Linked DNA regions of Arabidopsis thaliana. The protein of the gene in region 1 interacts with the protein of each later gene in a biochemical or structural test. Each region holds a gene or a part of one and is shown on either strand. Other genes may lie near its edges. The genes, in order: RPS5 and FLS2.

Region 1 (6,333 bases):
AAAAGAGATGCTTATTGAATACTGGATTTGTGAGGGATTCATAAAAGAAAAGCAAGGTAGAGAAAAAGCATTCAACCAAGGTTATGATATACTCGGTACTCTTGTCCGTTCATCTTTATTGTTGGAGGGAGCAAAGGATAAAGATGTCGTGAGTATGCATGATATGGTTCGTGAGATGGCTCTGTGGATATTTTCTGATCTTGGAAAGCATAAAGAGAGATGTATTGTGCAAGCCGGCATTGGATTAGATGAACTACCTGAAGTCGAGAACTGGAGAGCTGTGAAAAGGATGTCGCTAATGAATAACAATTTTGAAAAGATACTTGGCAGTCCCGAATGCGTTGAACTTATAACTCTGTTCCTTCAGAATAACTACAAGTTGGTAGACATCTCAATGGAATTCTTTCGGTGTATGCCTAGTCTAGCTGTTTTGGATCTATCAGAAAATCACAGTCTTAGTGAACTGCCAGAAGAAATATCAGAGTTGGTGTCCTTGCAGTATCTTGATTTGTCCGGGACATATATAGAGCGACTACCTCATGGTTTACACGAGTTGAGAAAGCTAGTACATTTGAAACTGGAAAGGACGAGGAGACTTGAGAGCATTTCAGGGATATCATATTTGTCAAGTTTGAGAACATTGAGACTAAGAGATTCAAAAACGACACTAGATACGGGGCTTATGAAAGAACTACAGCTCTTAGAACATTTAGAACTCATAACCACAGATATCTCGTCAGGTTTGGTTGGGGAATTGTTCTGTTATCCCAGAGTTGGGAGATGTATTCAACACATTTATATTAGGGACCATTGGGAGCGTCCGGAGGAATCCGTAGGAGTATTAGTTTTGCCAGCTATACATAATCTGTGTTACATCTCCATATGGAACTGTTGGATGTGGGAGATAATGATAGAGAAGACACCATGGAAAAAAAATCTAACAAATCCCAACTTCTCAAACCTCTCTAATGTGCGAATAGAAGGGTGTGATGGTTTAAAGGATTTGACGTGGCTGCTGTTTGCTCCAAACCTGATCAATCTTCGCGTTTGGGGGTGTAAGCATCTGGAGGATATAATAAGCAAAGAGAAAGCTGCAAGTGTTTTAGAAAAGGAGATTCTTCCTTTCCAGAAACTAGAATGCCTGAACTTGTATCAGTTGTCTGAGCTGAAGAGCATCTACTGGAATGCTCTGCCTTTTCAGCGTTTGAGATGTCTTGACATACTAAACAATTGTCCGAAGCTGAGAAAGCTTCCGCTGGATTCTAAAAGTGTTGTCAAAGTTGAAGAATTTGTCATAAAATACAAGGAGAAAAAATGGATAGAAAGAGTTGAATGGGAGGACGAAGCGACACAATACCGTTTCTTACCTACTTGTAGGCTGCGTTGAGGAGCCCCATGACCCAAAAAATGGGAAAATGGTTCTTGTGATGTGAAGGAATATTATGAGTCTCAGTTCTCTTAAGTAGAGTTTGATGTGGTGGTTGAGACAGCTCCGTCTACTGAGGTAGATGACATCTTGAGGTGGATTATCATCAAGAGTTTCTTCTTCTTTACGCTTAGGGCTCGTAGCGGAGGAATCGAATCCTTAGCTAATCTCCGACAACTTTTCCTGTAATATATAATAACACAAGTTGTAATTAAGAATAATCAAATCAATGAATTCAATAAATAAAAGCCTAGATGACAGAAATATTTCTCAATTGCAAAGATTAAGTGAATAACCTGAATATGAAATTGATCAGAGTGATCCGATCCCTTCAAATTATAAAGTCTCGCACACGTACTGAATTTTCTTCCAGCGTAAACATTACGTTTCGATGTTGTCATAGGCCCGAAACACCCGCCCCACCCGCCCCACCCGCCCCTCCGGCCCAAGGGATGATGATTCTTCCCCATGATTCTTTTGTCCTTTGCCTCCTAAACCCTAGCTATATATATATATTTATATATGTCATTTGGGCCTAACTTTTTTTCTATTATTCCACGGCCCAACTTCGGTTTGGTTTGTCAATTAATCTTTTAGCCGTACGGAATCGAAATCTTGACCCCTTAAACCTCAAAAAAGTGTCGTTGGTTTTGTTCTGTTACTCTGCTTTTTGCTTCATCTGTCAACATGACTTGCACATCAAACTTCTAACAACAACTCCAGTTTAGTTGTATGTTTGGATTGTGAGTGTTCATTGTAATGTAGCTAGGATTGTATTTTAAGTGGGAAGAATGTGAAAATATGTTCCTTAATAGTGTTCTCTCTCTGTTTCCTCAAGTATAAGATAGAAGAAGACAAGTATGCTAGTATGATGAGTTGATTTTGATTTCTCAATTTGGTTCGTCAGCCTATTTTTTATTACCCTATGTGATCAATTCCAGTGTGCACACCACTTGTTTGATGAATTGTCTCTGTGGAGATTTTTTTTTGTAAGTGTTCCTTTCTCAAGTGAAAAACTATTTCTCTATGGAAAATTTAAATGTTATTTTTGTGAGTTTAGTAAGTTCCTTCGTTGATCTGAGTTCAAGATGATTGCAATTCTACAGAACCATAAACCCTTAAATGTTCTTTGAGATGATTCTTAGCTTTTTTGTTTGTCTATTAGAGATTAGTCAACGTAGTGATGACATACTGACATCTTTGGATTGTTTCAAAGTTTACGTTTTTACTATACATTGACTAGTCTTAGAGATTTTATATTATGCATATAGTGACATAGACTTTTCCTTTCTTATCTATTCCTCTTCTCTACCTAATCTGTGAATCTCTCTCTCTCACTCTCTCTCTTTTCCTTGATTGTGCAGAGATGGGAGGTTGTTTCTCTGTTTCATTGCCATGTGATCAAGTAGTGAGTCAGTTCTCTCAGTTGTTATGTGTCAGGGGAAGTTATATTCACAATCTCTCCAAGAATCTGGCTTCTCTGCAGAAGGCCATGCGAATGCTCAAGGCTCGGCAATATGATGTGATAAGAAGGTTGGAAACAGAAGAGTTTACAGGGCGTCAACAAAGGCTTTCCCAAGTTCAGGTATGGCTTACTAGTGTCCTAATCATTCAAAACCAGTTTAATGATCTGCTTCGTAGTAATGAAGTTGAGCTTCAAAGGTTGTGTCTTTGTGGTTTCTGCTCCAAAGATTTGAAATTGAGCTATCGTTATGGGAAAAGAGTTATCATGATGTTGAAGGAAGTTGAGAGTCTCAGTTCTCAAGGATTCTTTGATGTGGTTTCTGAGGCAACTCCGTTTGCTGATGTGGATGAGATCCCTTTTCAACCCACAATTGTTGGTCAGGAGATAATGCTTGAAAAGGCATGGAACCGTCTCATGGAAGATGGATCCGGGATTTTGGGTCTGTACGGTATGGGGGGAGTAGGCAAAACGACACTACTCACGAAGATCAACAATAAGTTTTCTAAAATAGATGACAGATTTGATGTTGTGATATGGGTTGTTGTGTCTAGAAGTTCAACAGTCCGTAAGATACAAAGAGACATAGCAGAAAAGGTAGGCCTTGGGGGAATGGAGTGGAGCGAGAAAAACGATAACCAGATAGCCGTTGACATCCACAATGTCCTTAGGAGACGAAAGTTTGTTTTATTGTTGGATGACATATGGGAGAAAGTGAATTTAAAAGCGGTTGGAGTCCCGTATCCAAGCAAAGATAACGGATGCAAGGTAGCATTCACTACTCGTTCTCGAGATGTGTGTGGGCGCATGGGGGTTGATGATCCGATGGAAGTTAGCTGTCTACAACCCGAAGAATCTTGGGATTTGTTTCAAATGAAGGTTGGGAAAAATACACTGGGAAGTCACCCAGACATTCCCGGACTTGCTAGAAAAGTCGCTAGGAAATGTCGTGGCCTACCATTAGCACTCAATGTTATCGGTGAAGCTATGGCATGCAAAAGAACAGTACATGAATGGTGTCATGCCATTGACGTTTTAACATCATCTGCCATAGATTTTTCAGGTATGGAAGATGAAATTCTCCATGTTTTGAAGTATAGCTATGATAATTTAAATGGGGAGCTGATGAAATCCTGCTTCCTCTATTGCTCTCTGTTTCCTGAAGACTATCTTATTGATAAAGAGGGGTTGGTAGACTACTGGATAAGTGAGGGATTCATAAATGAAAAAGAAGGCAGAGAGAGGAATATTAACCAAGGTTATGAGATAATTGGTACCCTTGTCCGTGCATGTTTGTTGTTGGAGGAAGAAAGGAACAAATCAAACGTGAAAATGCATGATGTGGTTCGTGAGATGGCTCTATGGATATCATCCGATCTTGGGAAGCAAAAGGAGAAATGTATTGTGCGAGCTGGTGTTGGGTTACGTGAAGTACCAAAAGTCAAGGATTGGAACACTGTGAGAAAGATTTCTTTGATGAATAATGAGATTGAAGAGATATTTGACAGTCACGAGTGTGCTGCACTTACAACTCTATTTCTCCAAAAGAACGACGTGGTAAAGATCTCGGCTGAATTCTTTCGATGTATGCCTCATCTGGTGGTTTTAGATCTATCAGAGAATCAGAGTCTTAATGAATTACCAGAAGAAATATCAGAGCTGGCCTCTTTGAGATATTTCAACTTGTCATATACATGTATACATCAACTACCCGTTGGTTTATGGACATTGAAAAAGCTAATACATCTGAATCTCGAACACATGAGCAGTCTTGGGAGTATATTAGGGATATCAAATTTGTGGAATTTGAGGACATTGGGACTACGAGATTCCAGACTGTTGCTAGATATGAGTTTAGTGAAGGAGCTGCAGCTCTTAGAACATCTAGAAGTTATAACCCTAGATATATCATCAAGTTTGGTTGCAGAGCCATTGTTATGCTCTCAAAGGTTGGTGGAATGTATAAAAGAGGTAGATTTTAAGTACCTTAAGGAAGAATCAGTGAGAGTATTGACTTTGCCAACCATGGGTAATCTCCGCAAGCTCGGGATAAAAAGATGTGGAATGAGGGAGATAAAGATAGAGAGGACAACTTCATCATCGTCTCGGAACAAAAGTCCCACAACTCCATGCTTCTCAAACCTCTCCAGAGTCTTTATAGCTAAATGCCATGGTCTTAAGGATTTGACGTGGCTTTTGTTTGCTCCTAATCTTACTTTTCTTGAAGTTGGGTTCTCAAAGGAAGTAGAGGATATAATTAGTGAAGAGAAAGCTGAGGAGCATTCAGCTACGATTGTTCCTTTTAGGAAATTGGAGACACTACACCTGTTTGAATTACGCGGGCTCAAGAGAATCTATGCAAAGGCTCTGCATTTTCCGTGTCTGAAAGTTATCCACGTAGAAAAATGTGAAAAGCTGAGAAAGCTTCCATTGGATTCTAAAAGTGGGATCGCGGGTGAAGAACTTGTCATATATTATGGAGAGAGAGAATGGATAGAAAGGGTTGAATGGGAGGACCAAGCAACTCAACTCCGTTTCTTACCTTCATCCAGGTGGCGGTGGAGAGAAACATAATGAACTTCACTTTCTTCTACAAACTTTTGTTGTCATGGTCTAAAGACATTTGCCGGTGTGTAAATCTCTTCCTTGTCTCTTCTTGTTTGCATAACCGTTCTCATCGTTCTTTTGGTTAGTGATCATTGGATTTGTACTTATCTCTTTCTCTAAACGATGAGTGTTTGTTTCGGCTTCATAGAAACATTACACAGAGACTCATGAGAAAATGAATAAAAACTTGCAAGTTCCTAACCATTGTAATAAAATAATAATTAACTGTCTTATCTCGTTGACAGTTTTCGGATAAATTAGAAAAGGCGGGACCCACGTTAATTGGAAGATATCAACGGCTGGATCTGCTTACTCAGATCAACTTCAGCGAAAAAAATGCCACTCTCGTTGCAATCTCCGCCTTGTGCAACTCTCTCTGCTTCAATCCGAGTACTCTCCTCTTCGCTTACTTCTTTCAATCGCATGTATTTGTGCATTGTTTGTTTTTTATCTAATGGATGCGAGCTTTGAACTTCGCAGAAGGGACGATGGAAGACGCTCGCCGCCGGATTCTCCGTTACTCCTCTTCCCGCCGTTAACTTCAGTCTTCGGCGATCGATTCCTCGGATTCTTGCTTCCGCTAGTTCCTCCTCCTCTCCTGCGTCTTCGTCTCTCGAAGCTGGTATTTGTTTATATCTTTGATGATCGTGTTTCTCATTAATTAATAAATACGATTTCTGGAAAGACAAAACAAAAGTATGGGTTTTTGAAAGATTGACTACGATTCAAGCTTTCTTTTTATGTGGGTTTGTTTTTATACTGTCTTGAGTCACTTGTTAGGAAACTATGCTTGACAAAGTTGCTATTTTTGGTTTACCTTTCTTAGTTCAGGACCTTC
Region 2 (6,835 bases), on another chromosome or scaffold:
CGTATTTAATAACATTGTTATATTATGTAAAGATATGATATATATCGTTAAGTAATATTATGTAGTGAAAATCCGTCACAAATCATAATAACTTGTAGTGATCAAACTTCTTGTATATAATCTACTTTGTTCTCGCGAGCACCTTAATCAATCATCCCATTTAAAAAATTTCTTTTTGCTATTAACATCTTAAATGTTAAATCTATCATTGAGCAATGTAACAGTTCTGTGTGAAGAAACAAGGAATCACTTACTTCTACATTGTCTCTTTACAAAGGAAATTTGGCACATGATAATGCTTCGGTTTGGGCAATCTCCTTATATCTTTGCAGACTTGTCTATTACCATAGGTAATCATATAAAAGTTATTATATATGAACAATGTTCCTATGGTAATAGAAATTCACATTTTATTAAAAAAACTGATACGAATAATTCAAAGAAATAAAATAACTTTTATATGATTGTCCATAAGATATAGTCAAAACGCAAAAGACTTTGCTCTAAGAAATATTAAAAAGAAAAACAACAAGACGAGGATTATTTCTTTTCAATAATTAAAACATTAGTATAAATACAATCACATGCTTAATGTAATAATGTGACAGTTTGGCCGAGTGGTCTAAGGCGCCAGATTTAGGCTCTGGTCCGAAAGGGCGTGGGTTCAAATCCCACAGCTGTCAATTTGTTTTTTTCTTTGACTCCTTTGTTCATCTTTATTTTAAAATCAATATAAACCCTTTTCGGACATTCTAAATATTTTGACCCAACCTAATGATATTCATTATTTGTCTAACGGGTCAACTTTCAAGTCTTCAAGTAAACATGATATGGAATTATATGGGTCAACTCCAAGTAAGAACAGTGCATGCATCTTGAAGACAAAATTGATTTTTTTTTTTGTTTTTAATTAATGGAAATTTTGAAATACTAATGGGTCAAGATGAGGTTGTCCAAATCAACTGATATCATATATGACCAGATTCCTCAATAGTCATTAGTCAATACAAAATCCATAATCTTTTTTAAAAATATAATCTTTTTATTTTAAATCGCCTATTTTTTTCCATTCATTTGTCCAATGTGAAAAGCCATAAATCATATATTAAGAAGTTGTGAATTGTGATCATAGGAGTAATATTTCTATCTGAACAAAAATTGAATTTTGTTTTGCTTTTTGTTGAAAGATAAATAAAATGTTTGGCAGATTGTTTGTACAGAACACAACTTGTTGATAAAACAAATTCCATCAAGACAGCTAATGAGCTTTTGATAGTCAGAGCTTTGAAGACGTGTTAATGAATTAAACTGATTAGACCTAAAACCAAATATTTAGAAAGAAAAAAATATGATAATTGTTATGTTATTTAATCAATAGTCAAATACTATGTTGAGTACCAATCATTTCAGTTTCAACGATTGCTACTCTTTTGACCAATAACAAAAAGGTTTTTATTTTTCATTTCTCAAACTCCATTTTTGTTTGTTTTTAGCATAAAAACAGCTAGAATGTGAGTTTCATATGTATTATATACTATAAGAAATCATATAAATTAACGACTAGAACATATTGTTTTCATTCTAGTGGTATATCTGAGTTTGACTAGAACGTTTGGAGGCAGATTAAAGTGATTTCGCCTTGTCAAAACTACTTTGTATATGTTATCAATCAATCGCTCAAAACTAAATCGGAAAAAAACTACATAAATAAGATATGGAAAATGATACTAACACAAACTAGTAAGTAAGTAGTCACTACATATTCTGGTCCCATGAATATGGCTTACATAGTACATACATTGTGAGATTAAATGAATATGATATATAATACAAGCATATAAGCATGTGCATGACTATGAAGTGGGAATACATTTAGTGCCTTTATATGCAACTTGACAGAATTACCAATTATGTGAATAGTGAAACTTATATTGCGTCTTGGCCTTTTCACATCCGTGACATGATCCCTCAAATCTATATCTTCTTGCGGCATATGCTTATATATAAACATATGACTTCGTCTATAGATTTATATCCAGATAATTAATTCTCTCATAATATCTTCTCCACAATTTCAACTCTTCTAAAGTCTAAACCATGAAGTTACTCTCAAAGACCTTTTTGATATTAACTCTCACCTTCTTCTTCTTTGGCATTGCACTAGCGAAACAGAGCTTTGAACCAGAGATCGAAGCTTTGAAATCCTTCAAGAATGGTATTTCCAACGACCCTTTAGGAGTATTATCAGATTGGACCATCATCGGTTCGTTACGACACTGTAATTGGACCGGAATCACCTGCGATAGTACCGGACATGTAGTCTCGGTTTCCTTGCTGGAGAAGCAACTTGAAGGTGTTCTGTCTCCAGCCATAGCGAATCTCACCTATCTCCAGGTTCTTGATCTCACTTCAAATAGTTTTACCGGCAAAATACCGGCTGAAATAGGAAAGTTAACCGAGCTTAACCAGCTTATTCTGTACCTAAACTATTTCTCTGGTTCGATTCCTTCTGGAATCTGGGAGCTTAAGAATATTTTCTATCTTGATCTTAGAAATAATTTGTTGTCCGGTGATGTTCCTGAGGAAATCTGCAAAACCAGTTCTTTGGTATTGATTGGGTTTGATTACAACAACTTAACCGGGAAAATACCAGAATGCTTAGGAGATTTGGTTCATCTCCAAATGTTTGTAGCAGCTGGTAACCATTTAACTGGTTCGATTCCGGTATCAATTGGTACTCTGGCTAATTTAACGGATTTAGACCTGAGTGGTAACCAGTTAACCGGAAAAATACCGAGAGATTTTGGAAATCTCTTGAACTTACAGTCTCTCGTTTTAACTGAAAACTTGTTGGAAGGAGATATACCAGCTGAGATCGGAAACTGCTCGAGCTTGGTCCAACTTGAGCTTTACGATAACCAGTTAACCGGGAAAATACCAGCTGAATTAGGGAATTTGGTTCAGCTGCAAGCACTCCGGATATACAAGAACAAACTTACTTCTTCAATTCCATCTTCATTGTTCCGGTTAACTCAGTTAACCCATTTGGGGTTATCAGAAAACCATTTGGTTGGACCGATATCAGAAGAAATCGGTTTTCTTGAGTCACTTGAAGTCCTCACACTTCATTCCAACAACTTCACAGGAGAGTTTCCACAGTCCATCACAAACTTGAGGAACTTGACAGTCCTAACGGTGGGGTTCAATAATATTTCCGGTGAGCTCCCGGCGGATCTAGGGCTTCTTACAAACCTTCGGAACCTTTCAGCGCACGACAATCTTCTTACCGGACCAATACCTTCCAGCATAAGTAACTGCACCGGTCTTAAACTCCTGGACCTGTCTCACAACCAAATGACTGGCGAGATCCCGCGGGGTTTCGGAAGGATGAATCTTACGTTCATTTCTATTGGGAGGAATCATTTCACCGGTGAAATTCCAGATGATATCTTCAACTGTTCAAACTTGGAAACTCTTAGTGTGGCAGATAACAACTTAACAGGAACTCTCAAGCCATTAATTGGGAAGCTTCAAAAACTCAGGATTTTGCAAGTTTCATATAACTCTCTCACTGGACCGATTCCTCGAGAAATCGGGAATCTGAAAGATTTGAATATCTTGTACCTTCACTCTAATGGTTTCACAGGGAGAATCCCGAGAGAGATGTCGAATCTCACTCTCCTCCAGGGGCTAAGGATGTATTCAAATGATCTTGAAGGTCCAATTCCTGAAGAAATGTTTGATATGAAGCTACTCTCAGTTCTTGATCTTTCCAACAACAAATTCTCAGGTCAAATTCCTGCCTTGTTCTCCAAGCTTGAATCGCTTACCTACTTGAGTCTTCAAGGAAACAAATTCAACGGGTCTATCCCTGCAAGCCTTAAGTCGCTTTCGCTTCTCAACACATTCGATATCTCCGACAATCTTCTCACTGGAACCATCCCTGGAGAGCTGTTAGCTTCTTTGAAAAACATGCAGCTTTACCTCAACTTCTCAAACAACTTGTTGACTGGAACCATCCCAAAGGAGCTTGGAAAGCTTGAAATGGTTCAAGAAATCGACCTTTCAAACAATCTCTTTTCTGGGTCTATTCCAAGATCTTTACAGGCCTGCAAAAATGTGTTCACACTGGATTTTTCGCAGAACAATCTCTCGGGTCATATACCAGATGAAGTCTTCCAAGGCATGGATATGATCATAAGCTTGAACCTTTCAAGGAACAGTTTCTCTGGAGAAATCCCTCAGAGCTTCGGGAACATGACGCATTTGGTCTCCTTGGATCTCTCTAGTAACAATCTCACTGGTGAAATTCCAGAGAGTCTCGCCAATCTTTCGACTCTGAAACATCTCAAACTAGCTTCAAACAACCTCAAAGGCCATGTTCCTGAATCCGGGGTGTTCAAAAACATCAACGCCTCTGATCTAATGGGAAACACAGATCTCTGTGGTAGCAAGAAGCCTCTCAAGCCATGTACGATCAAGCAGAAGTCGAGCCACTTCTCGAAGAGAACCAGAGTCATCCTGATTATTCTTGGATCAGCCGCGGCTCTTCTTCTTGTCCTGCTTCTTGTTCTGATTCTAACCTGTTGCAAGAAAAAAGAAAAAAAGATTGAAAATTCATCAGAGTCCTCATTACCGGATTTGGATTCAGCTCTGAAACTGAAGAGATTTGAACCAAAAGAGTTGGAGCAAGCAACAGATTCATTCAACAGTGCCAACATCATTGGCTCAAGCAGCTTAAGCACAGTGTACAAAGGTCAGCTAGAAGATGGGACAGTGATTGCAGTAAAAGTATTGAATCTAAAGGAATTCTCTGCAGAATCAGACAAGTGGTTCTACACAGAAGCTAAAACATTGAGCCAACTAAAACATCGAAACCTGGTGAAGATCTTAGGGTTTGCGTGGGAAAGCGGCAAAACGAAAGCTTTAGTGCTTCCATTTATGGAGAATGGAAACTTGGAGGACACCATTCACGGCTCTGCAGCACCGATTGGGTCGCTTTTAGAAAAAATCGATCTTTGTGTTCATATCGCAAGCGGAATCGATTATCTTCATTCTGGATATGGTTTTCCCATCGTTCATTGTGATCTGAAGCCAGCTAATATACTCCTTGACAGTGACCGCGTTGCTCACGTAAGCGATTTTGGAACTGCTCGGATTCTAGGTTTCCGCGAAGATGGAAGCACCACAGCTTCAACATCAGCCTTCGAGGGTACAATTGGATACTTAGCTCCAGGTAAATTACTCACAACACTTAATTTTCAAAACCCTAATTATGCCATCGACTTACTTGAAATACACTCTTATTTTTCATGAACAGAGTTTGCTTATATGAGGAAAGTGACAACAAAAGCCGATGTATTCAGCTTCGGGATCATAATGATGGAGCTGATGACGAAACAGAGACCAACTTCGTTGAATGATGAAGATTCACAAGACATGACTTTGCGCCAATTGGTGGAGAAATCGATTGGAAATGGAAGAAAAGGGATGGTTAGGGTTCTTGATATGGAACTCGGGGACTCTATTGTTTCTCTGAAACAGGAAGAGGCTATTGAAGACTTTCTGAAGCTTTGTTTGTTCTGTACAAGCTCTAGACCTGAAGATCGACCTGATATGAACGAGATTCTTACACATCTGATGAAACTTAGAGGCAAAGCGAATTCATTTCGAGAAGATCGTAACGAGGATCGAGAAGTTTAGCAGCAAAGCTTTTTTGATGACATTTTTTCGACTTTGCCAAACTCTGTTACGAAGGTTGAATACTTTGGACGTAAAACGTTCTGATTTTGCTTTTCGTTATGTATTTCTGTTTTATATAAGGTTGAAATTTGGTTTTGATGAACTTTTTCATATACAAATGCATTAGGCTACACATGGATACTATAGTTTCTTATTGCAGGCAGATCAGGAATAAGGTTCGTCAAGTTTTTGTCATCATGATGGAGATGACGTTTGTCCCTTCCATTTAATCATGAAACAATACCACTGCTAGTATCGGACAATAGGCAATCTCACGACGGTTATCGAGAACACAGAAGATGACTCAAAGATCAATGCCACACAAGACAATTGTGTAGACTTGCCAAGTAATAGCTGTGAAAACTAGAGTCATTACATTTTCATCTCCCCGGGTAATGTTTTCCATTCTCGGCTAGCGAACCGCAGAAATTGCAAGACTAGACTGATAGAAAACCATGTCAGTGACTGTTGAGAATGAATTCTTCTTTAAAACTTTGCAATTTCATATAATTCTTTAACATCACTATACATTTTTGGACGAACTACATATTGTTTGCTTAATCCTTACAAAACAAAATCTAAAGAATATAGCACAAAAAATTGAAAACTTTAAATCGGAGACAATTACTTCGCTTTTGTATGGCAATAGAGAAAAGTAGTTGAGCGATGTTGGTCTATGCGGTTCTTGGTTCTGCCTTTGGTGAACGTCCTTTGAAGCTGAATGTGCACAAGAAAATGATCAACAAAACTAACTTGTCTTTTTACTTATTTTCCTTTGCTTTGATGCGACCACAATGAAGAAACACAAAGAACAAACACTTGTTTTTGCCTGTAAATGACAGAAATCAACAAAGTTTTCGTTAGATTTTTTATGAGTGGATGGCCAATGAGAATGATTTGGGGACTCACGGTTTCTAACGATGAATCTGAAGAAGAACGAATGAGAAGCAATAGAGTGGAAGAGCGATGGCAATCCCAGCTATGAAGTTAGAGAAGAGTCGCTTGTTGTCTTTTGTGGGTACGAAAACCGTCTTGAGTGTGTTGGTTAGTTCAAAGAGACGGTGAGATACCTGGCGAACAAGAACAAATAGAG

Evidence for each region.
Region 2: the proteins of RPS5 (region 1) and FLS2 form a complex in vitro, tested with the Arabidopsis thaliana proteins (one study listed by BioGRID).

Annotation. Positions count from the first base shown.
Region 1 is NC_003070.9:4,142,219-4,148,551, forward strand, and holds RPS5 (Disease resistance protein (CC-NBS-LRR class) family), read left to right. Parts: upstream 1-2,038; 5' UTR 2,039-2,415; intron 2,416-2,569; exon of another isoform or gene 2,570-2,790; 5' UTR 2,791-2,792; coding exon 2,793-5,462; 3' UTR 5,463-5,696; downstream 5,697-6,333. Other genes in the region: RFL1 (RPS5-like 1), read left to right, coding at 1-1,387; AT1G12211 (uncharacterized protein), read right to left, coding at 1,648-1,896; AT1G12230 (Aldolase superfamily protein), read left to right, coding at 5,832-5,885, 5,976-6,117.
Region 2 is NC_003076.8:18,789,705-18,796,539, forward strand, and holds FLS2 (Leucine-rich receptor-like protein kinase family protein), read left to right. Parts: upstream 1-1,870; 5' UTR 1,871-2,097; coding exon 2,098-5,236; intron 5,237-5,320; coding exon 5,321-5,703; 3' UTR 5,704-6,204; downstream 6,205-6,835. Other genes in the region: RWA1 (O-acetyltransferase family protein), read right to left, coding at 6,657-6,812.